2 linked regions of the Notamacropus eugenii genome follow. The protein of the gene in region 2 purifies or fractionates together with the protein of the main gene of each other region. This does not show direct contact. Links are inferred from orthologs where the notes say so. Each region holds a gene or a part of one and is shown on either strand. Other genes may lie near its edges. The genes, in order: EIF2S1 and PPP1R15A.

The links.
Region 1: the proteins of PPP1R15A (region 2) and EIF2S1 purify together in Homo sapiens (affinity purification with western blotting; 4 studies listed by BioGRID and IntAct, with this or other methods). This does not show direct contact. The link is inferred for Notamacropus eugenii from reciprocal best matches to the Homo sapiens genes PPP1R15A and EIF2S1.

What each region holds. Positions count from the first base shown.
Region 1 is NC_092872.1:312,852,052-312,866,625, reverse strand, and holds the start of EIF2S1 (eukaryotic translation initiation factor 2 subunit 1), read left to right. Parts: upstream 1-6,796; 5' UTR 6,797-6,991; intron 6,992-7,142; coding exon of another isoform or gene 7,143-7,804; exon of another isoform or gene 7,805-7,807; intron 7,808-11,671; 5' UTR 11,672-11,672; coding exon 11,673-11,913; intron 11,914-14,574. Other genes in the region: ATP6V1D (V-type proton ATPase subunit D), read right to left, coding at 377-494, 6,133-6,173; uncharacterized protein, read right to left, coding at 6,271-6,355, 7,143-7,804. UniProt on the Homo sapiens protein: Member of the eIF2 complex that functions in the early steps of protein synthesis by forming a ternary complex with GTP and initiator tRNA. This complex binds to a 40S ribosomal subunit, followed by mRNA binding to form a 43S pre-initiation complex (43S PIC).
Region 2 is NC_092876.1:12,626,314-12,641,386, forward strand, and holds PPP1R15A (protein phosphatase 1 regulatory subunit 15A), read right to left. Parts: upstream 7,799-15,073; 5' UTR 7,630-7,798; coding exon 7,561-7,629; intron 5,069-7,560; coding exon 3,545-5,068; intron 3,009-3,544; coding exon 2,751-3,008; 3' UTR 2,516-2,750; downstream 1-2,515. Other genes in the region: PLEKHA4 (pleckstrin homology domain-containing family A member 4), read left to right, coding at 10,161-10,241, 10,901-11,005, 11,516-11,588, 11,667-11,767, 12,121-12,230, 13,988-14,200, 14,284-14,554. UniProt on the Homo sapiens protein: Recruits the serine/threonine-protein phosphatase PPP1CA to prevents excessive phosphorylation of the translation initiation factor eIF-2A/EIF2S1, thereby reversing the shut-off of protein synthesis initiated by stress-inducible kinases and facilitating recovery of cells from stress.

The sequences.
Region 1 (14,574 bases), on a different chromosome or scaffold from region 2:
ATTGACAGAAATTATATTTGATAGTGTATACTAAATTCCATATCCACAGTCCCCAGTGCTTTACTGAGACAAGGTAGAAGCATGAATTTTATGAACCACCAACCTTCAAATTTAACTACATTAATGTAGTACATACAAGGATAAGAAATTTGATGTGTCAATATACCTTTTTCTCAAACCATTTTCCAATCACTAGTAAGCAAAACTGACCTTTTGTTTTCTTTCCCTCTACTCTTTCTCTTTCTAATGAAAAGTGAGATATTTAAGTCAGGAAACAATAACAAGACTAACAATAATTTAGAACATAATCAATCATACTGAATTTTCATACTCTCGTGAAAACAAACTTCTGATCAAGAGTAAAACCTATACTTGCCTCAATGATCTTCTTTAAGATCTGCCGAAAACGAAGAGTCAAGGCATCAGATTTTTTCTTTAGGAGGTTTCGGCCTGTCTGTGCACCTTTTAATCGAGCCTTCATGATGGTCTGTGCCCTAAATTCAATAGAAATAATTATAGTCATACAAAATTCTTAATATCATCTAAGATAACAAGATCAAGCACAAACATTTCCCAAACAAATTAGCAAAATTACACTCTACCCCACTTTGATGCCACAGTATCTAAATAAGATTGCCACGCAGACTATTCACCACTTGTATGTGAAAGTTTAATTGATTTTTCTAACTCTATAGGTCCATATTTCTATGCAGCCTGTAAACATGCCATAGTTATAATGGAGAAAGAACTAAATTAGAACTGAAAATACTCCTTTTGCACCTGCAATTAGTTCTGCCTAGTTGTAATGGAATGTAAATGTTTTTTAAAGCCAGCTTAGTCTAAATGATGTGACTTGTACAATAAATTATGTTTTCTGTGCGAAATTTTCAATTGCCTAAAGATATATTTTTTAAAATCAGATCACAGAGTGCTTGGAGATCTTCACTTAAGACCCTGAATACCAAACATTATATAATATGTTTAATTTTAAGGTTCTAAAGAAATGTGAGCTATTATTATTATAAAAGCTAACAGATGTACAGTAAATGTGGAGTTGCCTAAATAAGAAGTTAAGATTACATGACATTTTCCTTCCCATTCTCTTCTTCAGAACAAAGTATTAGTTTAAAAGAAAATAATAAAAATGATTATTCCAACTTTGCTATCATTTAAAGTAAGTTTTATCATTAAGGTCAATGACATACAAGATTAGTAATCAATCTAATCAAACCTAAGGACTCAAATTGTTTCATGAGAGAAGGTATACCTGTATGACCTTGGCCAAGTCACTTCCCTTCTCCGGGTCTCAGTCTCCTCATCTGTAAAGTTAGGGGGCTGCACAAGATGACCTCATTTATAAAGTAAGGGAGAGTTGGACTTGGATTAGATGACCTCTAAGGTCCAGTCTAGCTGTAAATCAATGATCCTAAGCTGTTGCATGTGACATAAATGCTGAATCCAAAATATATGTTTTTTCTTCTTCTACTGGTTTTCAAAAAAAAAAAAATACAAACAGAAATACCATTGGAATCATCATTAGCTTTAATGGTAACAGCGACTGGTATAATCAATGACACTAAAAGAAAAATGCCAGAGGCTAAGTTCTTGAGTAAATATGAGAATTTGAACTTCATAAATTAGAGGTGAGAGGCACCATCTCTTTACACTATAAAGAGAATAATTTAAGTTTTTTTTTAAATTTCTGTCTTTTAAAAGAATTAGACATAATTTCCAACTCCATGAATGAACTAGATCATGAACTAGATCAGAATTAGGTCCTGCCAAACAGGACTGGTTCAGTTTCTTGCCTGAGCAGGATTTAACCATCTGAGTGTGTACAAATTCACAAACCACCCTGTTTACATTCAGAGTCAAAACTATTTCAAACATGATTTCACCTTCTGATAGAAACCACAATGTAGCCTTACAGTCACTGTTGAGAGTCATGTTTTAACACAGATCAATCTAGCAAAATTATTTTTTCACCAAATTCTAAAGTAGTTTATTGGAGTCTATTAACCAAGATAAACAAGAGTTTCAAGGAGAAATTATTTTTATCAGATGTTACATAAGGCAGGGACAGAGAAAAGGTATAGTTTTCAGCACAACAAGAGAGACAAAAGTCAGACTGCAGGGGAATCATGAGGTAATGGATGTAGGAGGTGGAGGGTATTCTTTTTAGATGTAACTTGATGGGCACCAAATATTGACAGAAAGAGATGAAAGTGAGATACTTAGCACAAGAAAACTCTTTTGCTTTCCAATAAACTCTAGTAATTTCTCTAGTCAGCATTTTAAAAGTACAAAACAGAGAATGTGTTCTTGCAAACTGAATTCCTAATGGTTAAGGCACTGCTTTTATCAATTATCAAGAGGAGTTCAGGCTGCTCAAAATAAACTTCTATTAGAGCTTCTTAAAAGCCAAAGCTAATTTGCCCAAAGCCTAAAAAACATTCAAGAAACTTTCTAAGTTTTTTACTATTTTTCTTCAAATTCAGCCTGCCTCTAAGTAAAGGACCTTACTTTGAACTGAATTCCTTCTTAACTGGAGCATACAGGTTAGGCCATTATACTGAAAAGAGCACAGGATTTGGAATAGAGAGTTTCTGGGTTCAAATCTAGACTCTACCAATAAAAGGCAGTGTGTGTAATCTTAGGAAAATAACTTAACCCCTCAAGGGGATAATAATAGTACTGACCTCCCAGCATTGCCGTAAAGATCAAATGTGACAATATTTGTAAAAAAAAACAAAAACAAAAAAACTTAACACAGTACTTGACACATAACTCACACTAATAAATAACAGTTATGATAATTATTTTTATCCATAAAATGGGGAGGTGGAATGTGCACCTAAAGTCCATTCTAACTCTAAATATCATAGATAGATGCTTTATTTCACTCATTCTATTTCCTATAACATTAAGAGTATCACAGGACTATAACATTTTGACAGATTAGTTTTCTGGAAGTACAACTAAGAAATACAACTTCTAGATCACAACCTGTTATGTTCATAAGCTTGTATTATTATCCTGCACACTTTAAATGTTTTTATTTTTCTGGCAAGAGTGGGTAAAAGTACCAGCAGCATGATTTCACAACACGATGAAACGCATAAGAATAGCTAATACTATCTATGATGTTTTATATATACAATCTCATAAAAAATCTGTGAAGAAAGCATCACAAATGTTATTACTCCCCATTTTTCAGATGGAGAAACTGAGGTTTGGATAAACAAAGCTTGCCCATAACACTTACAGTTAGTAATTGAAGAGGTGGGACTTCTATCCAGACCTCTAGTGATTGTAACTCCAGCAATTTTCCCATTACTTTCCATTTCTGCTAATGAGTTACAAATGTGTACATGGAGTTCTTTATTCTGAACTGCCCAGATTTTTAAAATGAAATCTCTTAATTCCACAGCACTGCCACTTTTAACTGTAGTCATCAGCTTGCACGATGATGGCTTTGTTTCCAGCTGAATCAAAGACATCTGACTACATGACAAAATGTCGGCTGCCAGCCCCTGGAAAAATTAATGTGTTCTGACAACAGATTACCCCCTGTATTTGAATCTTTTTCTCATCAGCAGGCCCACATGCATACACATCATTCAGTAATTTCCTCATTCACACAACTAGCAATTCATAGTCTAAAACTGAAGAGGCCAATTTTCATGTCACAACTGTTAAAAATATAGATGGTTTGGAAACTAAAAGAAAGACAGATATAATTCACTGTAGTTGTAATTACAAAGAATTCTCTGAGAAGGGTGGCCAAGAGTATATTCTTCTCCAACAGAAAACAGCCCACATTCTTAACAAGGCTATTATTCTGGCCTTTGAAGGGACTTCATTTTCTGACTTTTGCATCTTAAGAAACTTTCTAAAATTACTATTTAATATCTTCTTAAGGACGCACTTAAGGAAGTATTGGTCAAAAGTCATCTCATTCACAAGAAGAGTAGGCAAAAACTGTATTGTAAGATCACTGGTCTCAAAATCAAGAATCCTCAATTCCACTTTGTACTTGGGTGACCTTGAGCAAGTCAGTTCTCTCTCTCTCTGATTCTTAGTCTCCTCATGTGTAAAATGAGCTTGACTATTTGGCCTCCACCTTTCCAGTCTTAATATTCTGTGAAATCAATCCAGCACGCACCACAGTATAGAAAGAAAGGTATAAGTAGGCTACTCACAAGAAAATAACAGTAATAATAAATGATAATAACTAACAACTACATAATGCTTACTATTATAAGTCAGGCGACATGCTACATGCTTTACAATGATTAACTCATTTGATCCCCACAACATCTATTTGAGGTAGCTGCTGTTATACTAATTTTATGCTATGGCAAACAAAGGTAAAGCTCAGGGACAACTAGTAAGTGAGTCCAAATTTGAACTCAGGTCTTCCTGACTTCAACCCTGGTACTCTATTTATTGGGCCGCTGAGCTGCCCCAAGTTCTAGCTTGGATTCTTTGCAATATAGGTCAATATAACAGAGGTGGAAGATCTCAAAAGTCAGCTAGTACTTTTATGAATAAGGAAACTCCTATAGGCCTCTATTGCCTCTAGGACCCAATATAAATTTAAAGCCGTTTACAACTTGACTCCAACCTGTGTTTCCAGACCGGATTCCCGGTTATGCACTCTAGACAGGCACAGTCAAACTGGCCTTCCTGCACTTCCTCACACAAAACATTCCTCGGTTCAGGCTATTTCACCAAGCCTGGAAGGTATTCCCTTTTTACCTCAGACACTTAAAATTCCTAGTTTCTTTACAGCTTAGTTCAAGCACGAGGAAAAAGTTTTTTTCCTAATTCTCCCCAAAGTAGCCTACATCTACTTTTTTATACACAAAGAAGGGGAGGCTAGGCATACTGGATAGAAAACTAGCCTCAGAGACATCAAGACTTAGATTCAAATAATAGTAACAACAATGAACATTTAAGCAATGTCTACTTCTGTGCCAGGAACCGTGCTAAACCCTTAACAAAACTATCTCATTAGATCCTCACAATACCTTGGGAGGGAGTGAATATTATCATCCCCACTTTACAGATAAGGAAACTGAGGCAAACCAAATGACTTCCCCCAAGGTCATAGAGCTAGTAAGTGTTTGAGGCTGAATTTCTACTCAGTGCTTTTTTGGGGGGGGGGGGGGTAGGAAAGGGGTATCAGCAGGTGTCCATTCCTTGTGTCTAGACAAACCTTAAAGAGTTAATGAGTGAAATGAAGTCCCGTCTGACACACTGTGCCGATGTGGAAGTCACTTTACCTCCTGGTACCTATCCCAGGCAACTCTCTATGCCTGTAACTAAGTAAAGACACAGAAGATGCCTTTATGCATTGCTGAGGGGGCGTAGTCATTCAAAGTTCCCTATATCCATAAAATCATTTATACTTTATCTCAGTTTCTTCTTATTCCTATATACCTATTTGTGTACCTGCAGCTTCCCACAACAAAATGCAAGCTCCTTGAAGTATTTTTATCTTTATATCCTCAGTCCCCAGAAATATGTTTTTAACAGGGCCTATAACTCACAATGAAGGAAGTACTCCGAAAAATCGGCAGAGGCTCGTCACCTTAAGTCTTAAAGCGAGGCCCACACAGAGCAGACCGCTTGGAGGCTCAGAGAGGTAAGTGACCCACCCAAGACCACAACATAAACAAGAACAACTGTGGTTTACTCCAAATCCCGAATTCTTTCCACTACACCACTCTATGCTTTTCTTTTTTTCTTTTCTTGCCCTTCTGTCAAAAGGACCAGAAAAGGAAAAAAAAATACGCTCCCCTGAGGCCCTGCCAAGTTATTGGGCGTATTCTTAGACAAGAGAAAAGAAAGTGTAAGTGATTTAAGCTCTTTGTAGGGCAGCGCAAGCACAAGATATTACCACCATGCGGGGTTTAATGAACCCCGAGAGGCCAGCCCTGGGGCAGGCGCAGTTCGGGGCCCAGGGCCGGGACGCCCCGCTCCCGCCGAGGATCGCATACGGAGGGTGGGAATAAAGGGGTCCTACGGTTCAAGGGGAGGACCCTGGGGGCAACCTGAGAAATCAAGCACCTCGGCACCGATGCGGAGGGGGCAGGAGGGCACTAAGAGCCGGCGAAGGCCACTCACATTCGCGAAGGGAAGATATCGATGCGGTCTTTGCCAGACATGGTGGCGGCAGCTCGGTCCCCGGGCCTGTCACCTCTGGTTTCGAAGCCGCCGGTCGCTGCCGATGGCCTCCTGCACTACCTCCTCCTCCTCATACAGTCAGCTGGAAAAGGTCACCTGATCACCTTCGGCGCAGGCTAAGCGGAAGCGGCCTCGGGCAAACCTTTTCCGGTTCCGTCCGCTACTGCCGGGGGCGGGCGGGAGAGAAAATGAGGGGAAGGGAGGAAATGCCCGGATGTTAGTGACAAGGCGCGCACCCCTCGAAACCAAAAAATAAATAAATTTTACACGCCTGCATCGACCCCTCCCCTATAATTCTCCCCCTCCTCCCGCGGCGAGTGCACTAAGCACGACCAGCGGCGTGAAAAGGAGGGGTGAAGAAGTGGAGGGGGGAAGAAGACATCACATCTGCTTCCGCTTCCACTTTCCCCACAGCGCCACCTTACTGTCGGAAAGAGTTTGGGAGCAGTTCATTGATTCAGCAAAGGGAGTCGGGTTTTGACGCCCGTTCCGAGCGGTATCCTCGGGGAAAAATAAGCGGAAGCGACAAAGTGTGCAGTCTCCCCCTCACTTCCCTAGCGCCCCCTCCCTCCCGGGAAGACTAATACTCTATGGTTAAATAGAGAAAAAAACAGGCCTCGCCGACGTCGGCGCTTGCGTCAAGTGTGAGGGGTGACCGCGCAGGCGCAGAAAGACCGGTCTCAACACACGCTGAGAGGAAGCGGCAGCAGGTTCTGGTGCGGCCCGAGTTCTGGGCATTTCCCGGAGTGTAGAGAGCAGCGCGGGGACCCGGTTCGGGACCCTCAAACGCGTATTTCAGGTGACTCCTTCTTCCCTTTCAAGCCTCCCCCCCATTCCTCATGGTCGAGGAAAGGCAAGCGAGTGGCTGCCCCGGGCCGGCCACCCCCTACCATCCTCTCTCGTTGGGCCCTTCCTCGCGCGGGAAGCAGCCGCCCCATCCCGCCACGCACCGGCAGCCGCCTTGGCCTCGTGGCGTGGCGTGTGGAAAGCGGCCGCTTAGGGAGGGGAGGGGAGACGGCTCGGCCTCGGCCGCCTCGCCTCGTGGGCTCCCGGGGAAGGCCCGGCGGGGGGTGTGGCCGCCGCGTCTGGAGAGCTCTGTGACACCCCCACTCCCTCCGCACGCTACCGGCTCTCCCGGAACGATGACCCCGGCGTCCGGGTCTGCTGGTCTGCCCGGCTTCCGGGCTTTGTGCGCCAGTCCTCCCGGGCCCTTCCTTCTTCGCCCGCCCTGAAGACCACGCCAGACCCTGGGCCGTGCAGCGAGGCCGCCGGCTCCGTGCTCCTGGAAGAACCGGGCGCTGCTCGGTCCAGCGTCTGAAAGTACCCAGGGGCTGGTGGAAAAGCACCTGGAAAGGGCGTGAAGGAACCAGCGAGCCGTCTGGGGGTCCCCTGCAGAGCCTCCGTTTAATTCTACGGCACCTTGAGTTTTATAGAGCTCACCCTCGAAGTAAGAGGGGTGAAGAAACAAGTTACTCTTTTCCTTTAGGATCAGGCGTTTCAAACCGGAGAAGTACCTCCGGGTCAGATGAAAAACTGGCTCAGGGAGCTGAAGTGACTTTGAGGGAGGATCTGGTCGGCTGTGCTGGGATTTTCGAATTCTAGAATGTAGCATTTGCAGTTTTGTTTTTAAGCACAACAATGACATTTTTACAATTGCACACAGTTTCCATTCTGTGATCTCTTAAAATTTTTCCCGAGAAAGTCCTCCTCTTAAATGTGGTATTGATTATTTCCCCTGTCTGAAAATTGCTAGCAGTTTATTTTGGGTAAGTAGCACAGCGGATAGAAAATTGGCCCATGATCCCAGGAACCTGAATTGAAGTCTCACCTCTGCCACATGCTGACTGTTACTGTGAACAAGCCACTAAAAATCTCGTGGTGTTCTAAGCAACTCTAAAACTTAGTTGCAGAGGATTTCCTTACATCAGTAAAATCATAGGTCTAGCCCCTAGTTATATAGTACATGTTACTTTTTGTACATTGGCACTCATTCTCTCTCTCCTTTCCCCTTTTTCCCTCCCCCTCCTGTTCTTTCTACTTCTGATAGGACATAAACTCCTAAGGGATAGACCATTTTTTAAAGCTTTGTAGGTAATAAGAGCTTAAATAAATGATGGATGATTGAATTCCATTTTAAATTTAAAGGAATGTCTAAGATAACTTTTTTCTCCCTTGAATTTTCTCATTAATCACTTTTTGCCATTTGAAAAATGAAAATACCTTAATTTCAGCCATTTGGGAATTTTTTTTTCTTAATCTGTTTTATGATGGGTTAACTTGTATAGTGCTCATAGCTTATAAATCATCTTCAGATCTATACTCTAATCCTATAAAGTATTATTAGCCCTATTTTTCAGAGAAAGAAGCTCGCTAAGCAACTTTCCCAAGATCCCGAGACTAAGTGGCAGAATTGACCAAAATAACCAGTCTGCCATTGAATGCCAAGGCATCACAATTCTCTGATTCAAAAGAATTTATTAGGTTGTTTGATGTGCAGTAGTATCTGTGTAGGATTTGGTAAGGCAGCAAACTTTTATCTGTAACAAAATAGCATATTTCATAAATAGAGGCCGTGTGGTGAAATAGATAGACTGCTGATCATAGACTCAGGAAGACTTGGGTTCATTTACTTTCCTACACTACCTTTGTGACCTCTGAGCAAAAGTCACTTAGCCTTGTTATGCTTCAGAGAACTCCCTAGGACTTTGAAGTAATGGATTTCTTGCATTCTGTATTGTAGAGGAAGTTCCCACATTCATTGGATTGTGATGAAATAGAGATGATTGTGGTGTTTTCAAGTAGATTGGAGAGTGGAAAATAATCATTTGTCCGTACTTTCAGAGGATTAAAGTACATTTTTATATTGCTAGTTTGGGGCCTGAAAATATATGAAAACACATGGGAAAAGTTTGACCTGAAGATAGATTTCTCCTTATCAATGAGCAGACCTTTCAGCAAGAGACAGAAAAATCACAGCAAAAAAAGAGACCTGGATTAATTCCCAAAGTGAGTTGATATTGGGGGAAAAATTGTTCGTAGTAAAAACACAGATTTTTGTCGAAGTCAGATAAGTGGAGTAAAAAAAAAAATGCTGTTCCCTATTTGAGATGTCTCCAGTTTTTGTATTAGATTAATTGGTAGTGTTTTTCTTGTGTCACTATACAATTATGAAGGGAGCAAAATTCCTTTGTATTTAAGGATTGTTGTTGACATTCTAGAACAGATATATTAGCCAGGAGAAAGCTGCTATGAAATTTATCCTACTATTATTCTTTTTTGTAGCTCACTTGGTAGTGAGCACTATAGAAGCAGAATATTGAGAATCTGTAGGTTACTGGTTCGATTCTATCTTAAAGGAAGTCCTAATTTTAGGAAGGAAGCATGTGGTAGTAAATGAAAACCCATAAGTGGACTTAGAGTAAGGTAACCTAAGTTTGAATCCTCACCCCATTACTTAAATTCTACTACTACCATATGCAAGGTGATAGGCAGTATGGTAAAGGACTGACTTTGGAATCAGAAAGATCTGGATTAAAGTCTTACTTCTGACATTTATGTCACCTTTGGTAAATCAGTTAACCTTTCCATGCCCCAGTCTGCTCTAGGGAATATAGCATGAACACAGCTAATTTGTGTGCAAGGTACAGTGGGGATAGGAGCATAGGAAAGATCCAGACACAGTACTTTTAAGAAAACTTGAGGGAGAAATCACTTGAAGCTGGGAAGAAAAGGATTTTAAGAAAGGTAAAGAGGAAGTGTATGTGGCTTACATGAATTCTTATTAATTACCAGGAATACCTTGTAATCTAGTTTGGCTAGAACATGAAAATTAGTAATAAATAAGGCTTGAAAATTAGTGTGGAGCCAATTTGTGAAAGACCTTAACGGTCAACCTGAAATCCATTTAAAATTTTTGAGCAAGGAAGTGGAATGGTTCATGTGTATTGGGGAGGTTATTTTGACAGTTATGTGAAGGATGGTTAGAGAGGGAGAGACTTTTGTTCAGGCAAGAGGTTATGAAGCCCTATCACCTTCGAAATATTGGGAATTGAGAGTACAAAGGTTTCAGCATCTCCTCTAATGTCTATCATCTTACAATTGATGTTAGTAATAAAGTAATATAGAAAATATTATCAGGAGAGTAGTAGTCCCAGAGATAGTTACTGTTTTACAAGTATTGCTATAAGAACCAGAGAGTATCCAAAAATGGAAACTCTGGAAACCCTTGATGCTAATTCTCAGGAGAAAGAAGCAGAATGGAAAAATAAAAGCCATAAGAATTAGGGAAATGTCATTATGCAAGGCAGGGTGAACAGCTGCAAGAAACAGGAATAAAAGGACAGCCAAAGAAAATTTTGCGAATTATATGGAAGAGACTTCTCACTGCACCGAATAGAATGTGTGACTTGGTTGCGTGATTTTAGCCCCAAGTCTTGCAAACTGGACGAAGATGTCTTCAACAAGTAGTTAGTCCTTATCTTCAGGCATACACTCTCAGGTTCACTAGAGAAGAAGCCTGATGAAAACATTGCAGCTGCAGTACATTAATCTTATTCAGTAAAAATGTTTACAATAACTTGGTTATATTAGGAAGGGAGGGGTTTGGACCATGGTTTGTGTTTACAGTTAAGTAGGAGTAATGAGAAAAGTGGAAGGCAAGACAGTATTTAAAATAAAATTGGAGAAAGGGACTTGTATCTGTGATATTGAGTGTAAAAAAGTGAGAGGAGGCTGCAAGATCACAACGTAGATGTATGAACAAATTCAAGTGGCAAAAGGTTGGAAGGAAAAGTGGCATGTGGTTTTTTTATTTGTTTTTTGTGGCATTTAATTAAGATAGCCCTTCTACGTGTCTGAAATTGGTTCCTTGCTTATGATAATGTTATCATAACCCTTTTTCCTCCTTCTTAATATACATAGTAACACTTGTTTTCAGAGAAATTAAGACTGGGATGAAGGGGTTGTCTTTTGGTTGGATTTTTAAAATATGTATTTAAATATCTATGCATATATATGTATATACATACATAATATACTCCGAAGTATATTACATAATATGCTCTGAAGGAAGAGTGGTTCTGGTTTTGCTGCTTTGAAAGACTACAGCATGTTTATAATAACAATACTGTCCTACCCATGGTTTGATATTGCTTAAAGTGGGAGTATTATAGTACTTTACTACTAAGCAGTACCTTTCATCCTTAGTTCTCAATGTTTTACAGACACTAATTATTTTTTACAATATCTCCTTGAAACTAATGGTAAAGACACACCTACGTGCCACAAAAATCTTTAGCAAAATTAGAAATAAAAATTTGTTTCTTGACAGTGCTTACTCAGAAAATGGTTAAAATTTGGAAATAAGAGAGGAAACACATTTTTCTTTTTGGTGGCAAGATATAGAAATTTCACATCTTAAACTTAGAAACTTTATGTTGGCTTCCATATGATAATTAATTTTGGTTCTTTCACATTGCAGAATGCCAGGTCTAAGCTGTAGATTCTACCAGCACAAATTTCCTGAAGTGGAAGATGTGGTAATGGTGAATGTACGTTCCATTGCTGAGATGGGAGCTTATGTCAGCCTATTGGAATACAACAACATTGAGGGCATGATTCTTCTTAGTGAGCTGTCTAGAAGACGTATCCGCTCCATTAACAAACTCATCCGAATTGGCAGAAATGAATGTGTGGTTGTTATTAGAGTGGACAAAGAGAAAGGTAAGTTAAAAATGAAATGGGAAATTGTTCTTGTTTTGAATGTGGGAATCATGGCTTTTGAATATTTTTATAAATTGTCTACTTCAGGTAAAAAGTGTTGCATACTTTTTTTTTTTAATTAGGGTGTCTTAATCAACCCTCTTTTATGATATATTTCTTTGACTCCTTTAATAACCTTCCCCTTCCATCTAAACATTAAGGCAATTTTAATTGAAGAATGGGAGGCCTGAATTATAGAATTCACTATCACAACTTGCCTTATCATTCCCACATGCCTGCATTTTCATCCCTATCTTCTTTCCACAAAGAAATAGCTGACACTAAATCCATGATGTCTTCCCTGATTGAGCCAACTAAAAATGATTTCTCTATACTCATATTTTCCAAGAAAATTACCTGCATCTTTCCTTTGCATTCATCATCACTCCATCTTTATACTTCTGCATACATTTCATATAGTTCCTAAGCTCTTGCGTGGCACTATCCTGGTTTTTCGCCTATGTATTCCCATTGCCTTGCAGCTGGTAGGTACTTGATAAATATCGGTTGGGTAGTTTAGAAGATGTGGTAATGATGAATGTTAAAGCAGTCAAATGACATTAAGCATGAAAACCTCATATTCTAAGCAAGAGGATACAGCATGTACACGTCATTATTTACAAAATAAGTAAACAATGATTTGGGGGGAAAGTACTAACTAGCAGCTGGAGAAGTGAGGAAAGACTTTATATAGAAAGTAACGCAAGAGAAGTAAGGAGTTCAGCCTGTGCAAAGGCAAACATCACAGGCGCTATGGAGATGGAGCACCAGTGTATGAGAAACAGTAAGAAGGTTTGTGTGTGTGGAGGGAAATAATGTGTAATCAGACCAAAAGGTTAGGATAGAGTCAGTTTGTGAAGGTGACAGGAGTTGCTGCTTTATCCTAGAAGTAATAAGGAACCACTGAAGTTTTTTGAGTAGAATAACATGATGAAAACTGTTCTAGGAAAATCATTTTTGCATCAGTGTAGAGGATAGTTTGGAAAAGAGAAAAACTTAAAGTAGGGAGACTAATTAGGTGGCTATTGCAATAGTCTAGGTAAGATAAGGGCCTGAACTCTTGTGTTGTACAATTGTGTCCTACTCTTTGTGACCCCATTTGGGTTTTCTTGGCAAAAATACTGGAGTAGTTTGCTCTTTCCTTCTCCAGCTCATTTTACATATGAGGAAACTGAGGCAAGCTGCTTGAAGTGACTTGCCCAGGGTCACAACAACTAGTAAGTGTCTGAGGCCAGATTTAAACTCAGGTCTTCCTAACTCCAGGGCCAATACTTTATTCACTGCACCGCCTAGTTGCCCCATGTGCTATGTAGTGAGTAGAAAGGAGGAGACAAGTACGAGAAATATTGGAGTAGAAACAGTATGATTTAGCAACTTATTAGTGTGTGGGGGAAGGAAAGAGTGAAGTAGAAAGTGGCAGCATGGTTGGGAACCTGGGTAACTAGAAGGATAGTGGCGTTCTAGATAGAAATAGGATGATTCAAAAGATGTTTGGTTTGAGGACATAGGTAATGAATTCACTTTTGAATGTGTTGTTTAAAATATCAAGCTTTCCAGTTCAAGATGTCAGGTAAGTATGGAGTAGTGAGGTTGAACCTGGAGCCCTGTAAAGACACAAGGCCTGCATATATAGTTCTGGGAGTCATCTGCATAGCGATGAAAATCAAACCTATGGGAGATGATCTGATCACCTAGAAAGACATAATAGGGAAAAGAGAGAACAGGCCCAACATAAATGAAATGACCCAGTAAAAGGAGACTTGAGAAAAAGTGGTCCTGTTGGTAGAAAGAGAACTAAGAAAGAATAGTGTCACAAAAACCCAAAGAAAAGAGAAGATCCAGGAGGAATACATTGTTAACACTATCACGCACTGCAGAAAGAGCAAAGAAGAGAAAGATTTCTACAAGACCGTTAGTTTTGGCTATCAAGAGATCATTGGTGACTTTGGAGAGAATAATCTGTTACAAGATTGGAAGTCAGATTTCAGATGGTTGAGATAGATAACTTTTAAAAAGTAATTTCTGAGAAAGGGATGATAGAGGGGATGTTAGGACCTAATGAGGTGTCTTTCTCAGAATGGGAGAGACTTTCATAGGTACAAATTGCAGATTGAGAAAGGGAATGAGATCAAGGGTTCACATAGGGAGAGCTTGGTCTTGGTAAGTAGAAAGGCTGTCTGTTTATGCCAGGTTATAAAGGATTATAGAATAAGCAAGGGGAGAAGAGTGAGTTTGAAGCAGTCTCTCTCTTCATTCAAAGTATAAGACTAAATCTTTTTTCAAGTAAACTAAAAAAAAAAAATCACCAATAAACATTAAAATTTCCACACAAAGAGATCAGAAAATGGAGATTGTATATAAAACTACAGGTTGACTACATCTAGCTTATTCCTGTCAATGTACATTAAATCCAGCAGTAGAAGCAGAGAGGAGCCAGATAGTGGGAATATTCCGGGGCTGGAATTTGGCATGGAATGAGTGTTGATTAAGAATAAGGGGTCTGCTCAAGGCAAAATGCCTTCCACACTCAGAGAGAGAAATATGGAAGTCACTCACATAATGTAGCAGATCATGTTTGTGTATGTGTATCTGTTTGTGTATCATGTTCTGATTTGTTATACG
Region 2 (15,073 bases):
CGGACGCCTGAGTTCAGCCCTCACCCTTAACCCTCCCCTCCAGTCACCGCCTAGCCAACTGGCCTAATGCGCTTGGGAATTAAATATGTATGAACTTGTCTGTAGCTCTCGCCTCAGGGTGGGGATGGGGAGCGCGACACGTGTGGGGTGAACTCTCTAGGTCAGATCCAACCAAACCTTACAGGAGCATCCTCTCAGACCTCCCTCCCTTCCCAAGTTCTCTGTCTCCCCAGGAACTCGTCTCTGTGTCTAATACCTCCACTTCTATAGCCGAATCTGCCTCTGGACTCTGTCTCTCTGGACTTCCCATTGTCTCTCAGAGTGGAGCCCCGCCTCTCAAGGCTCTGTCTTTTGTCTCTTTCTTTCTATTGCTGTCTCTGTCCGATCTGTCTCTCTCCTGTCAGTCTCTCGCCCATATCTGTCTCTCTCCACCTCTCTCTTCCATATGTTTAGAGGCAGTTTAGGAGTCTCAGTGGGTAGAACCCTAAACTCCGGAGGATCTGAACTCAGATGCGACTTCAGACACTTACTTAAACTGTGCGACGGTGAGCAACTCGCAACCCCTGTCTTCCTCAGTTTCCTCAACTGTAAAATGAGGATAATAACAACGCCTACTTCTCAAGGTTGTTGAGAAGATCACATAAGATAATTTACCACAGTGCCTGCCACACAGTAGGCGCTCAATAAAGACTTACTTCCTGTCTTTGGTCCACATATCTGCCCAAGCAGTCCTCAAACTGTGCCCCTGGAGCCGTCACCGGCACAATTCCGGACAGGGAAGAAGAGGACCCAAGCGCCACCCGGCGCTTAGGTCCGAGGGCTAAGGAGACTGGGAACCGCGTGGGTTTCTGAAAGGAAAGAACTGAAGGCAATCCCTTAAGCGAAGAGTTTGGGGGAGGACGCCTCCGAGGTTAAGGGCCCGAGGAGGATACTTCGGCCTGAGGGACTCCTGAGTCCCAGAGGCACGAGCGCTAAGGATGAGGAGAAGCCTGGACCAGGCAGGCTCCGGGCAGGTGCTGTGCGGAAATGGGGGTTGGGCACAGCAGATGGCTAAGGGGAGGAGGGGAGAGAGGGAAGCTGACCGCAGCCACTGCCATCCTCTACTCCATCTTATGCCTTTGCCATGGAGACAGGAAAGGGGAAAGGAACCCAGGGCGGCAGCTCCGCCCCACAGGCTCCCTTTCGGCGCTGACTCAGGAGTGGCCAGCCTCTTTCCCCACAAACCTGTGGCGTGCACCTCCCGGGAGCACCTAGGCGGACTACAGCTCCCAGCAGCCCTCGAGGCCAAAACAAGGGCTCTCTCCGCAAAATCGGCCCAGGGCGCTTCTGGGAGTTGTAGTCCTAGCCTTTGCCGAACGCCGCGGAAACACCGAAGGACTCCCAATTGTCGGAGTCTCTCGGTAAGGTTGCAGCCCAGCCATATCTGGGAGTCAAGAGTCCCTCCAGCTACCCACTTCTCCAGGGCCCGGGCGGTTTAACGGAGAGAGGAGGAAGACGGCTTGAGCATCCTCAGTGTTTGGGACAGCCAGCCTTTCCACAGCCTGCTACCCAGAAGCTGCCTAGTACAATGGCCTGCCTGGTTTTACTTGAGAGGAAACTGAGGCCCAGAGACGGGGAGCGATTGGCCCCAGGTTATACAGCTGTCTGATGCAAACCCAGACCTCTGGCCCCAAACCCATTGTTTTCTTGGCTCTGTCACGGTCTTGGGGTCATTGTGTCTTCAGCTGTGAGCACTACATTAATAAACTGCAGTACCCTAAAACAGGCCATCAGAAGGGGGAAGGGTCTTGAGATCGATCAGTTCGTGAGGATTAGCTGATGGAAATAGAAACAGTTGGCCAGGAGAAAGGAAGCTCAGGGACCATATACTGGAGGTTCCTGTGGAAGAGATTAGGTATTTTTGTGTGCTCCAAAGGCTTGGAGGGGCTGCAGAAGGGAAGGGAGCCAGAGGGATTTGCAGAGACCATACATACAAGCTGGGTGTTTGGGGGGAGTTCCTAGTGAGTACAAGATACTGTTGGAGGAGTCAGCTGGGGTCCAGCAGGTATTGTGGAGAGGGGATCCTGGTTCTACTAAAAGTGTTTAGTGGAGGACCTAAAGAACCTCTGTCTGGGGTCTCTTTCAAGTGTGTGCTCCTATGAGGCCAGCCCTCTCCCCTCCCCAGCCCCCAATGACCAATTCAGAGTTCCAATTTTAAGTGGGCCATTTATCATGGACATATGGTCACAAATCTCTTCTCCAAAACCTAGGGGATAAAGCAAATGAAGGACCATCAGAGGATGTGTCCTGGGACCCAGCTCCAGGCACCAAACTAGAAAGCTGAGGAGATCCAATCTCTAGGGAACCCCCAAGTCCTCACCCAACCCTGGCCCCAAAGCCAACCTGCCTGTGGCCCAGTTCTTCATTTCCACCAGCTGGACTCCCTTGGAGGTTTGAGTTTTGGGGAAAAGTGATCAGAGATGGAGACCCCAGAGATTGGTGAAATTTTTAATAAAAGAAATAAAGAAAATTCAAGTATGTTCAACAAATCTTTATTAAAAGTATACTATGTGAGGCATCAGGGATAAAACAAGGGTAACCAATTAGCCCTGACTTCCTGGAATTAACTCATAACCCATAAGTCCTCAAGAAGGCTCTGCACACATATACCACCCGCCTACTGACAGGCAGGGAAGGGGGAGAGAAGGCTGAGCAAGGCCTGGATCCGGGCTTCTTTCTAGGGTTCTAAGCCTAGGCTGATTTAGAATGAGTTATGGGCTGGGGTAGGGGCCCTCCCCACCCTGGGAAGAAGACTGAGGGGAAATGGTCAATGCTTGGAGACGCATCCAAGCTCGGGCCCGCGCAGCAGGGCACAGGCAAGGGCCCAGGTGGGCTTCGGCCTGGGTGATACGACGAGCGAAGCGGCTCCGATCACGTGCCAGCTGCTCCCATGGACCCCGGCGGGCAGCACGGGCGGGCCCAGCCCATACCGCCAGGAGATGAAGGCCCACGGTGCTGGAGAATCGGACCTGGAAGGAGGCAGCCAGAGGATGGCGTGAGTGAGGCAGATACAGTGGGCTCCAGACAGCCCTTCATGCCCCCTCCCCACCCACCCCCTCCTCTGCTTAACTAGTTTTGCAAGGTACTAGTCCTCAGGTCTCTTTCGCATGGTTTTGGGGGAATGACAAAAGTAAAGGGGGAGGGGAAAGGAACCGTGTTTATTAGGCACCTACTATGTACCAAGCATTGGTCTAAGCCCCTTTACAAATTTTTAGTAAATAAAGCAGCCTCAGCACCTGCATCTGAATTTCACTTGCATCCACCTTCTGCTAAACTCATATGACATAGAGAGCCTGAATGGCCAAGGGACCCATCACTGGCCCCAGAATCACAAGGACCTGGTTTCAAATCCCATTAAGTTGTGTGGCCCAGGGCAAGTCCTTAACCTCCCTGGGCCTCCATGTCTCCCTTGAGCTGGACTGAAACAAATCTGTGATGCTGTAGCTAGCTCTGACCTGCCTGGCTACCATCTACCCAGCCTCCCCTGTGAAGGGTGGGTCCTCACCTTCCTGCCTGGAGGGGACTCTGGCTCTGGCTCCACAGGGGTCCGTCGGGGCCTCAGGCGCTTCTTCAGTCTCTGGGGTAGCTGGGGTGAGGGCCAGGGGGATGGCTGCTCAGCCCCAGGCACAAAGATGGAAACACGGAAGACCTGCAGCCCTGGGCCTGCCCTGCACACAGCTCCTTCAGCATCTTCTTGGTCATCATTCTCCTCTCCAGGTCTGCAGGCCCAGGCCCTGAGCAGGGGGCTGGTGAGCACAGGAGGAGGGGGCTGGTTGGCTGCTCCCCCCTCCCCATCAGATACATCATCCTCATCCTCATCCTCATCATCACCTTCATCCTCTCCAGGTCTATAGGCCCAGGCCCTGAGCAGGGGGCTGGTGAGCACAGGAGGAGGGGGCTGGTTGGCTGCTCCCTCCTCCCCATCAGATACATCTTCCTCATCCTCATCACCTTCATCCTCTCCAGGTCTGTAGGCCCAGGCCCTGAGGAGGGGGCTGGTGAGCACAGGAGGAGGGGGCTGGTTGGCTGCTCCCCCCTCCCCATCAGATACATCATCCTCATCATCATCATCACTTTCATCCTCTCCAGGTCTGTAGGCCCAGGCCCTGAGCAGGGGGCTGGTGAGCATAGGAGGAGGGGGCTGGTTGGCTGCTCCCTCCTCCCCATCAGATACATCTTCCTCATCCTCATCACCTTCATCCTCTCCAGGTCTGTAGGCCCAGGCCCTGAGCAGGGGGCTGGTGAGCATAGGAGAAGGGGGCTGGTTGGCTGCTCCCTCCTCCCCATCAGATACATCTTCCTCATCCTCATCACCTTCATCCTCTCCAGGTCTGTAGGCCCAGGCCCTGAGCAGGGGGCTGGTGAGCACAGGATGAGGCTGGCTGCTGGATCCTCCTTTGCCATCACCTTCTTCAGCTCCCCCAATTCCCCTCTCCTCTGCCTCTTCTCTGAGCTGCCAGGCCAAAGGCCAGAGCCCCTGAGGGCAGCTGTCCACAAGGGAAGGGAGGCTTTGCTCAGCCTCAGGCATTATCTCATCTCCCACCCCTTCTCCTTCTTCATTCTCATTCCCCTTGTTCTCTCCAGGCATGAGGATGCCTCTCGCTGCTTGCTCCCTGTCTTGCCCATCATCTCGTTGGACCAGACCTGTGGGCCTATTTCCAGGCTCTTCTCTCCTGGATGCTCCATCATGGACCTTCTGTTCTCCAGACTCAAGGTCTGCTGGGCCTTCAGCCACTCCTTGGTCACCCTCTTTCCTCACTTGTCCAACCCAGTTCTGGAGGCTAGAGCTGGCCTGAGCTCTTCTGACTTCAGGCCAAGGTCCTGGGGCCTGATTGAAGGGGCCCTCTTCTTCCTCAGTTCTAGCTTCAGGGTTCACATCCTTTGCTTCTCCTCTAGGCTTGGGCTGGAGTCCCACATTCCATAGTTGGGACCAGGTCCAGGCCAAAAGTAACTGAATGTCAGAAAAAAGGCTGCCCCTGAAGGAAGCTCCCAGGGAGATGCCAGTACTATGTCCCAGGTCAGAGTTGGGCTGCAAAAGAAGGCACCAAACAGGCTAAATTAGACTTCCCTTGGCATGAGTCACAGGACAGAAACAGAAAGCCAAGCATTTGGCCAACCCAGACTTCCAATCCTGACTATTCTCCTTAAGGTCCCATTCCTTGTGGCCCTAAGCACTTTTAACCAGTTACCCTTCACCTACCCTAGAGTTTTGGATTTTTTTTTAAAGGCTAGTCTTAACCCCAAATCACTCTGGCTCTCCTATCTTTGTAAGATATCTTGGGGTATACAGGCTACATTTCTTTCTTCAGGACCATGCCTTTAACCCAAATCATTCTGGCTTTTCACCGATTGGCCAACAGTAGGTTCCAAGCCAAACCCCACTTAGTCATTGTTTGAACTCTGATTGACTCAGAGTGAATGTAAAAATAGGAATTGTTTCTATTTTGGCCAGAAACTCTGAGGGTCTTCTCCTTCTACTTCGATTTTTTTCTTTTTGGCCTAGGTTCTTTGTCTCATTTTTGTTTACCTAGCCCTCATCACTAGATGGATGTTGCCTCAGTCAAACTGAGACTTGCAAAAGACCAAGGTTTCCTACCACATCCTGGGCCATCTCCGTCACCCTAATGACTTAAATCAGTTCACTTGCATGTCATGGCATCACCTCCCTGATGTCATGGTCCTCTTCAAGAACGAGGAACAAGCACCAACTACCTCACCTAGACCTGTGTGCTTTACCCGGGCGTTTCTAGCCTCTGAGAGCCTCAAGCACCACTTACAAGGCAGTGGAGGCTCAGCGGCTGCAGTCAGGAAGACCCAGGTTTAAATCCAGCCTCCAGCAGCCTACTGGCTGTGAGACTTTGGACAAGTCACATAACCTCTGTTTGCTGTAAAATGAGAATAAGAGCACTTCTCAGAATTGTGACCGTACCTATAGAGCACTTAGGACAGTACCTGGCATCCAGCACACATTAATAATATTTAACCTTTTCCTTCCTGCCTGCCCTCCCTGCTGGGAGTTCTCCTTGCTCACCTTGAGGATCCAAGGGCCCCCTGGACCCTTCTGGTCCTCATCTTCTCAGAGAGCCCCCCGTTCCCTCTCCGTTCTGAAGTTCCCAGCTCCCTATCCCCTAATGCCCCTGCCCCCGTCCAGTCCTGTCCCCTCAGAGGTCCCAAACCCCTTTCCTGCACTATACCGTCCCCTGAGGAGTCTTGTCCCTCCCCTCGGGGTCCAGGCGCCCCCTCCCGTCCCTCCCCTCGGGGTCCAGGCGCCCCCTCCCGTCCCGCCCCTCGGGGCCCCGGCTCCCTTTCCGGTCCGTCCCGCCCCCTCGGGGTCCAGGCGCCCCCTCCCGTCCCTCCCCTCGGGGTCCAGGCGCCCCCTCCCGTCCCGCCCCTCGGGGCCCCGGCTCCCTTTCCGGTCCGTCCCGCCCCCTCGGGGTCCAGGCGCCCCCTCCCGTCCCTCCCCTCGGGGTCCAGGCGCCCCCTCCCGTCCCGCCCCTCGGGGCCCCGGCTCCCTTTCCGGTCCGTCCCGTCCCCTCGGGGCCCCGGCTCCCTTTCCGGTCCGTCCCGCCCCCTCGGGGTCCAGGCGCCCCCTCCCGTCCCTCCCCTCAGGGTCCAGGCGCCCCCTCCCGTCCCGCCCCCTCGGGGTCCAGGCGCCCCCTCCCGTCCCTCCCCTCGGGGTCCAGGCGCCCCCTCCCGTCCCGCCCCCTCGGGGTCCAGGCGCCCCCTCCCGTCCCGCCCCTCGGGGCCCCGGCTCCCTTTCCGGTCCGTCCCGCCCCCTCGGGGTCCAGGCGCCCCCTCCCGTCCCGCCCCCTCGGGGTCCAGGCGCCCCCTCCCGTCCCGCCCCTCGGGGCCCCGGCTCCCTTTCCGGTCCGTCCCGCCCCCTCGGGGTCCAGGCGCCCCCTCCCGTCCCGCCCCCTCGGGGTCCAGGCGCCCCCTCCCGTCCCGCCCCTCGGGGCCCCGGCTCCCTTTCCGGTCCGTCCCGCCCCCTCGGGGTCCAGGCGCCCCCTCCCGTCCCGCCCCCTCGGGGTCCAGGCGCCCCCTCCCGTCCCGCCCCCTCGGGGTCCAGGCGCCCCCTCCCGTCCCGCCCCCTCGGGGTCCAGGCGCCCCCTCCCGTCCCGCCCCTCGGGGCCCCGGCTCCCTTTCCGGTCCGTCCCGCCCCCTCGGGGTCCAGGCGCCCCCTCCCGTCCCGCCCCCTCGGGGTCCAGGCGCCCCCTCCCGTCCCGCCCCCTCGGGGTCCAGGCGCCCCCTCCCGTCCCCGCCCCTCGGGGCCCCGGCTCCCTTTCCGGTCCGTCCCGCCCCCTCGGGGTCCAGGCGCCCCCTCCCGTCCCGCCCCCTCGGGGTCCAGGCGCCCCCTCCCGTCCCGCCCCCTCGGGGTCCAGGCGCCCCCTCCCGTCCCGCCCCTCGGGGCCCCGGCTCCCTTTCCGGTCCGTTCCGCCCCCTCGGGGTCCAGGCGCCCCCTCCCGTCCCGCCCCTCGGGGCCCCGGCTCCCTTTCCGGTCCGTCCCGTCCCCACGGGACTCACAGGGTCCGGGCTGCGCGTCATCCTGGGGGCAGCGAGGGCGTGCACGGGCATGGCGGTGTCCACAGGCATGGTGGTGTCCACGGGCACGGCGGAGGAGTCCACGGGCACGGCGGTGTCCACGGCGGGCTGGGGCTAGGGCTCATGTTGTCGGGGACCCCAAAGGCTCGGCGTCTGCGCTCGATGTCCGGCCAGAGCTCCGCGGTCTCTCTGTGTACTCCTGCTTCTCCGGTCAGGTTGGCTCTGAAATAAACACGGCTCCTCGGGTCCTTATATACGACGCGCTGACGTCACGGAGCGGAGTTTACCAACGTCAGGCAAGGGGGGGCGCGGGGGAAAACGAAGAACGCAAGGCTGCCACTCCCTCCCGAGCGGAGTTTCCTTAAGTGGAATCGCTCGGATCCCCTAGGGCTGACGTCATAGGAGGGGCGGGGCGATCAGGGAGCTCGATGACGTCATGGTCCCGTGCTCCGGGGATCCCGCGCCCAGGAGGTGATTCAGGGCTCTGGAACCTCCGAGAGCAGTCCGGAGCAGCCCCGCCCCGCCCGGCCATCCTCTGGATCGCGGCTCGGTCGCCTAGCCCCTTGTCACCCTCGTAGGGGATGAGCCTGCCGTCCCTGCCGCACCTGGGGCGGGGGGGCCTGAGCAGGCGGGTTCCCCTCCTAATCCCTCGGATCCCATTAATGTCACAGCACAGCGCCCAGCCTTCTGGCTGAACCTGTATAACCTCCTCCCCGAGTCGGTCAGTCAGTCAGTCAACAATCCTGGAGGACAGCCTGTCCAGGGCAACCTTCTGGTCAAGCCTTCTCCTGCACCCCGCCCCCAGCCCCCCTGCCCGTGCCAGCCGGGCTGCATGCTTCCTTTCAGCCAGCCTGGGGTCTGACTCCCCAGTCCTTTTACTCTCGGGGACCCAGGAGACTTGTGCGGAGCCCCTTGAGTCCCACCCAGACAGCTGTGGGGGCCGAGGAGCCTCGGGGTCAAGGGAGGGGAGGGGCCGGCCAGAGGGAGGGAAGAGCGTGGGTGGAGGAGTTGAGGAACAAGGGAGAGACACGGACCTACTGTAGAGAAAGGGAGAGGTCCAGAGAGCGGAGAGAGACCGAGGGAGACAGGAAGGTATGGGCAGGCTGATCCCGAAATCCAGAGTTAGAGAGAGAGAGAGAGACTGAACCCGGGACTGAGAGAGAGGGAGGCATAGAAAGACAGAGGAGGAATAGTAGGGGAAGGGGGGGGAGAGAAAGAGAGAGAGAGAGAGGGAGAGAGAGACAGACAGACAGAGAGAGAGAGAGACAGACAGACAAAGAAAGAGAGACAGAAACAGAGAGAAACAGACAGACAAAGAGAGAGAGAGAGAAACAGAGAGACAGGGAGAGAGAGACAGACAAAGAGAGAGACAGACAGACAGACAAAGAAAGAGAGACAGAAACAGAGAGAAACAGACAGACAAAGAGAGAGAGACAGAAACAGAGAGAGACAGAGAGACAGGGAGAGAGAGACAGACAGACAAAGAGAGAGAGAGAGACAGAAACAGAGAGAAACAGACAGACAAAGAGAGAGAGAGAGAAACAGAGGGACAGGGAGAGAGAGACAGACAGACAAAGAGAGAGACAGACAGACAAAGAAAGAGAGACAGAAACAGAGAGAGACAGAGAGAAACAGACAGACAAAGAGAGAGAGACAGAAACAGAGAGAGACAGAGAGACAGGGAGAGAGAGACAGACAGACAAAGAGAGAGAGAGACAGAAACAGAGAGAGACAGACAGGGAGAGAGAGACAGAGAAAGAGAGGGAGACAGAGAGAGACAGAGAGAGAGAGAGAGAGAGGAGGAGATAAGTGGATGGAGAATAGAGAAACAAGGAGAAGAAAAGCCAGCAAGTGACAGAGAAAGAAAAACAGGAAGAGACAGAGAGAGAAGAGACAGATGCACAGAGAGGCACACAGGGAGTGACAGAAACAGAGAGAGCGAAAGAAATTCAGAGAGACAGTGAGAGACAAATAAAAGGAAAGAGACAGGAGGCAGAGAGAGGCTGAGGAAGGGTGAGCCACTTGGGAGTGAGAGCACTTGGGAACTGAAGAAGGAACACCCAGCTGTGCTCTTGGATCTGTGCTGATCCCACTTCCTTCATCTGGAGGGCCTGGTAGGTTTCTAGACCTGGGGGAGGGGGGACACAGGTATGCTTGGGTTCCTTCCTACAATTGGGGAGGGGGGGGGTTGGTATGTTTGATCAGGACTGGGGGTTGAAGAAGGATGGAGTTACAAGGGCAGCCAGACTAAGGGGTGGGAAGGCGATGTGGATCTCTAAGCATGAAGGGAGGGGCAGATTCTTGGCCTGAAGGGGGGGTGGTCTGGACATAAAGAGGCCTCTTTTCTCTGGCTTCCCCCCTAGCAGCTGCTGTAGCCGCCCACCCCCTGGCACTGCCTCTTGGTATGTGGCAGGGGGCCAAGGCCTCCCCCAGCCCCCAACTCTCCCCCTACTCTGTATATCTCACACAAGGAGGCTTTTCTCCTTATCCTCCCCACTGCTGGGGTCACTGACCCTGCCTGGGCTCCTCCTCCTCCTGAACCTCTCTCAATCTTCTTCTTCTTCTTCAAGTGGCTCCCCAACATGGAGGAAAGCAGGCCCCGGAGCAGCCTCAGCATGGCCAGCAGTGTCTCCACTGTCTCCTCCATCAGCCTCAGCACCAAGGTGATGCAGGTGGCTGAGGTGGGGTGGGGAGAAGGTGGGCTGGTGGACCTCCCTCTCCCTGTGTCAAGGTTTGGGCTCCCAAGGTCTGGAGAGGGACCAGCAGCTGGGCCATGAAAACACCCAATACCTCAGAGTGTGAGACTGTCCCCTGGCCCAATTCCTTCCCAAGCCAGGTGCTGGGGGTGCCCAGCTCTTGAAAAGAGCCCCCAATTCCTCCTTTTCATATTCTTTCCTTACTCTTTGAGTCGCTCTGCCCGTGCTTCCTCTGAAATCCTAATAGTTTAGGGCATCTGCTCCTGGGGAGCAGGACTAAAAGAGGAGGTGAGCTTCCTGAGGACAAGTACTACCTTAGGCCTGTCTCTATTCCCAGTACGGTGCCTGCCACTTTTAATAAAGCCTCCTTGAATTGGACTGAATGAATGGAATGAGATCTGGGGTTTCTGCCCACCTACAACTCCTCTTGGCCAGGACCCTAAGCCTGCCCTGCCAGTAGAGCAGTCACTCGGTCCTGGACCACGCCCCCCCCCCCCCTCCCGCCGCCGCAATGAGGGGAAGGGAAGAGAATGAGAAGTGCCTCCCTCCCCTACAGTGGAGCCCTTCCAGGTCTGAGGTTTCCCTGTGCCCCCAGGCAGTCCCTTTCCTGCCTCTCTCTCCTCTAGCCCCCTCGGGCAGTCAGCCGGATCCATGCCTTTGGGAAAAGGGGAAGCTCCCTCCGCAGAGACCCCAACCTGCCTGTGGACATTCGAGGCTGGCTGCATAAGCAGGTACTGTGGGGCTAGGGCCCCTGCCTGTCCCTCGTCTGTCACCTCCCTAGGCTCTGCACTGTGTTGCATGCCCTGTTACTGGCTGCAGAGGGACCCCAGCTTTCACTTGCTCCGTGACTGTCACTCTTTGCTGCCGAGGTTGCCCCCAATCTTTGCTGTCTTGCTGGCTCTGTCTCTGTGACCCTCCACGACTCTATTTCCCTTCACCTCATCTCCATTTCCTGGTACATGCTCAGGTCTTGCCAATATTTGTCAAAACAGCTCTGGTCTCAGGTTCTAAAAATATGACTGTTCGCCCTGGTCCTCCGTCCCTGTCTCTGTGTCTCTGTGTCTTCTTGTCTCACTGTCTCTCATCTCCGTCCCCTCCATGTCTTTCTGTCTCCCCATCCCCCTGTCCCTCTGTCTCCCTATCCCCAGGTTCCTCTCTGCCTGTCTCACTGTACTCCCACCTCATCCTCCTGAGGTTTCACCTGTCTCAGGGCACTCAGGTGTCTCTGGTCTCTCTCCCAGGACAGCTCTGGCCTCCGGCTCTGGAAGCGGCGCTGGTTTGTCCTGTCTGGCCACTGCCTCTTCTATTACAAGGGTCAGTGTCCAAAGGATGGGTTGGAATGGGGATAGAGAAACCTTCCCCAGTGACCGCTGATCCTTGACTCCCTTGCAGACAGCCGGGAGGAGAGTGTCCTGGGCAGTGTCCCTCTCCCCAGCTACAGTGTCCGTCCAGATGGCCCTGGGGCCCCCCGGGGGCGCCGCTACACTTTCACTGTGAGTTAGAGATGATCCTGGTGTCCTCTCCCCCCTAGAACCCCTCGGGGACCCTGGTATCCACTGCTCCAGCTGCTAGTGCCTCCCTGCCCCTCCCCCTTACCTTCTATTCTCTGTAATCTGCTGGCTCTGTGCATGTCTCCCCCCTACACACACATAAGCTGCTTAAGAGCAGGGACTGTCAGCACACAGCCCCAGGACCCAGTACATCGGTCTGGCAAAGAGAACCAGATCAATGCTTATTTACTGACCCCCCCCCCCCCCTCAAGAACTGGCAGCCAGCCCTTCTCCTTCAGGCCCAAAAATTCCTTCCCTGAGCTTTATGTCCCCCTCCTTCTCACCTCCCTTCCCAGGCTGAGCACCCTGGGATGAGAACGTACGTATTGGCCGCTGATACGGTGGAGGACCTTCGCGGGTGGCTGCGGGCTCTGGGTCGTGCCACCCGAGCTGAAGGGGATGACTAGTAAGTGTGGGCAGGATTATCGCCACTTGAATCCCAGCCCCTCTATGGCTGTCCCTGACTGCACCCCAGCTTCCTCATCTGGAAAATGGGGAGCAGTCTAAGGCTGGTTGTTGCTGTTGAGCCCTGTCTGACTCTTCCTGACCCCATCTGGGGTTTTCTTGCCATTTCCTTCTCCAGCTCATTTTACAGTTGAAGAAACTGAGGCAAACTGGGTGAAGTGACTTGCCCAGGGTCACACAGCTACTGTATGTAAGTGTATGAAGTCGCATTTGAGCTCAGGGCTTCCTGATCCCATGCCCAGTGCTCTGTGCACTATGGCACAATCTAGCTGCCCCCTGCCCAAGAATCCAAGAATCAGAGATGTAGAGCTAAAACCACCTCAGCGGCCATCTCCTCCAGCCCGAGGAAGTTAATGGAAGAATCTGCCTAAGGTCACACAGGTAGTAAGCATGTGAACCCAGGACCTCAGACACTAGACCCTGTCTTCTTACCACTGCCCCAGGCTCTCTCAGAGAAGCTGCTGCTTATAGTGGTAACTACTCTGGTCTTGGAGTCACCAGAGACCTGAGTTCAAATCTCACATCTGAGACTTAATAGACTTAATATGATCCTGGACAGGTCACTTAGCCACCTGAGTCTCAGTCTGAATGAACAAATGGAGAAACCTGCCTGACAATGTGCCAGGTGTCCTACTAAGGGCTGGTGATATAAACATAAGAAAGCAAGCTAGTCACTGCCCTGGAGGAGAAGAACACGTAGAGCTACAGGTGGAAAAGAGGGAAGAATACGTGTGCATTCATGTATGTGTGCATGTGTGGGAACAGGTGTATGAGGGTGTCCATGTGATGGCATGTATGTGTGCAGGTATGAGTGGGTGTATGAGTGTGATTGTGAGCATGTGTGTCCATGCATTGTGCATACATGTATGCGTATGTGTGTGAATTGTGCGTGTGTGCATGTATTTTTGGCAGTGTATGTGAGTGTGTGCACATGAGTGCATATGAGCATCAACTGTGTACATGTGTGTATGAGTGTATTTGTGTATATGTGTATGTGCACACATGTACAAGCATGTGCGCATGTTTGTGGACATGTGTGTGCACACTGTCCCTCTCGCCAGCCTCTGTCCTCTGCCACTGGAAGGCTCTCTCTCCTCTCCTGAATGGAACCCCCGACTTCCTCCAAGGCTCTGCTCCAGCCCTGTCTCCTCCTTCAGACTGCCAGTCCTGGCTGTTGCCCCTCCCCCAGCAGAATGTCACCAAAGCACCTGCCTGGCAGTCAGCACTTGAAGGAATCACTTCCCGCTTCTGTCCAAGGCAGAACTCAGACAAGAACAGTAATGATGATAGCGAGCCAGCATTTGTAGAGAGAGCACTTTGAGGTTTTCAAAGCAGCCCCTCAAAACACAGGTGCCATTAACAGATGAGGAAACTGAGGCAGGCAGGGTCAGAGGCAGGTTGAGATCGGGTCCTCCAGACTCATGCCCAGTGCCCTATCCGCTGCGCCGCCTAGTGGTCAGTTCAACCGAAACGCAGAGGAGCTAAGCCTGGAAGGATCCTCTTGTCCTCTGGTGTCCAGGGCCAGGCTGAGGAGCAATGGAAAGCCACTGAGGATTCTTGAACATAGGGATGGGGGGCTGAGGGGGCGAGTACCTAACCAGATGACTGCAGCAGGTGCTGAGAAGCCCTGGATTCCTGGGAATGCTCTTGAGTGAGCCCTAGCCCAGTCCTCTCTGTCTGCCTTTTCTCTCCCTGCAGCGGCCCTCAGACCCCACCTGCCAGACCCTCAGTTGGAGAAGGCCCTGGGGGTCCTGGGGGACCACCTGAAGTAGGAAGCAGTGAAGAGGGTCGCAGTGCCGAATCCCTGGAGGTGGCCAGGATCTCTGGGAGACACAGGGAACTCACTCCTAGCCCTCCACCTGGGCTTATGGAGCCACCCCAGAGGAGCAGACAAAGGGCAAGGAGTCCAGAGTGAGTGTGTATCTGTATGGGGGTGGGATGTTTGGAGAGGAAGGGGCCCAATCTCAGGAAACCTCCTTCCTCTTCTCCCTTAGGCTGTTTTCTCCCCTCTCCAGGCCCCCATCACCCCTGGGCCTTCCCCGGCCACGCTCAGCCCCTGCCCACCGTCCCTCTGCTCTGGTTGGGGGAGATACCCGGCCCCATACCCCACTGAGTCGGATCGATGTCCGACCCTTATCTGAGTGGGCCCCAGCCTCAAGAACCCTGTCCAGGCCCTCCACTCCCCGACGGGCACCACCATCAGAGACAGGGGCACCGAGACCTCCCAGGAGCCCCCACCACTGGGCCACTGAACTCAGGGCCAAGGTGAGTGACCCTAGCAGACAGGAGAACTACATCATTCATGAGGCTTCAGGCCTACCTAGGTTACCCTACTAACAACCTGTGTAGTCCATGGTCAGACCTGTGTAGTCACATGTGGAAGGGGAAAGTCTGCCAGTCAGTCCAGTTGGCTGGCTGATGACCATTCTTATTAAGACATTATGGAGATTTTAGGCCATTGTGAGCCTCCAGCTGAGGAAGGCCATAGATGCTTATGGTGTTCTCTTACCACCCATGGCTTTCAGAAGTTCTAGGGCATTGTAGCTAGTTTGCCTCAGTGGGAGTGAGGGCTGTTGTAGGGCCTTCTGGAGAGAAGAAAGAGCCCTTCCCTTGATGTGGAGTCAGGAAATCCTGAGGCTCTCTCAACTTGTGAAGCTGGCCCAGACATTCCCCCTACATCCTCCACCCCCAAGGTTCTCTCACAGTTACAGTGACCGTGGCCATCTCCCTGAATCTCAGTTTTCTTACCTTTGAAAGGAGGAAGATACCTGGGGACCACCCTGT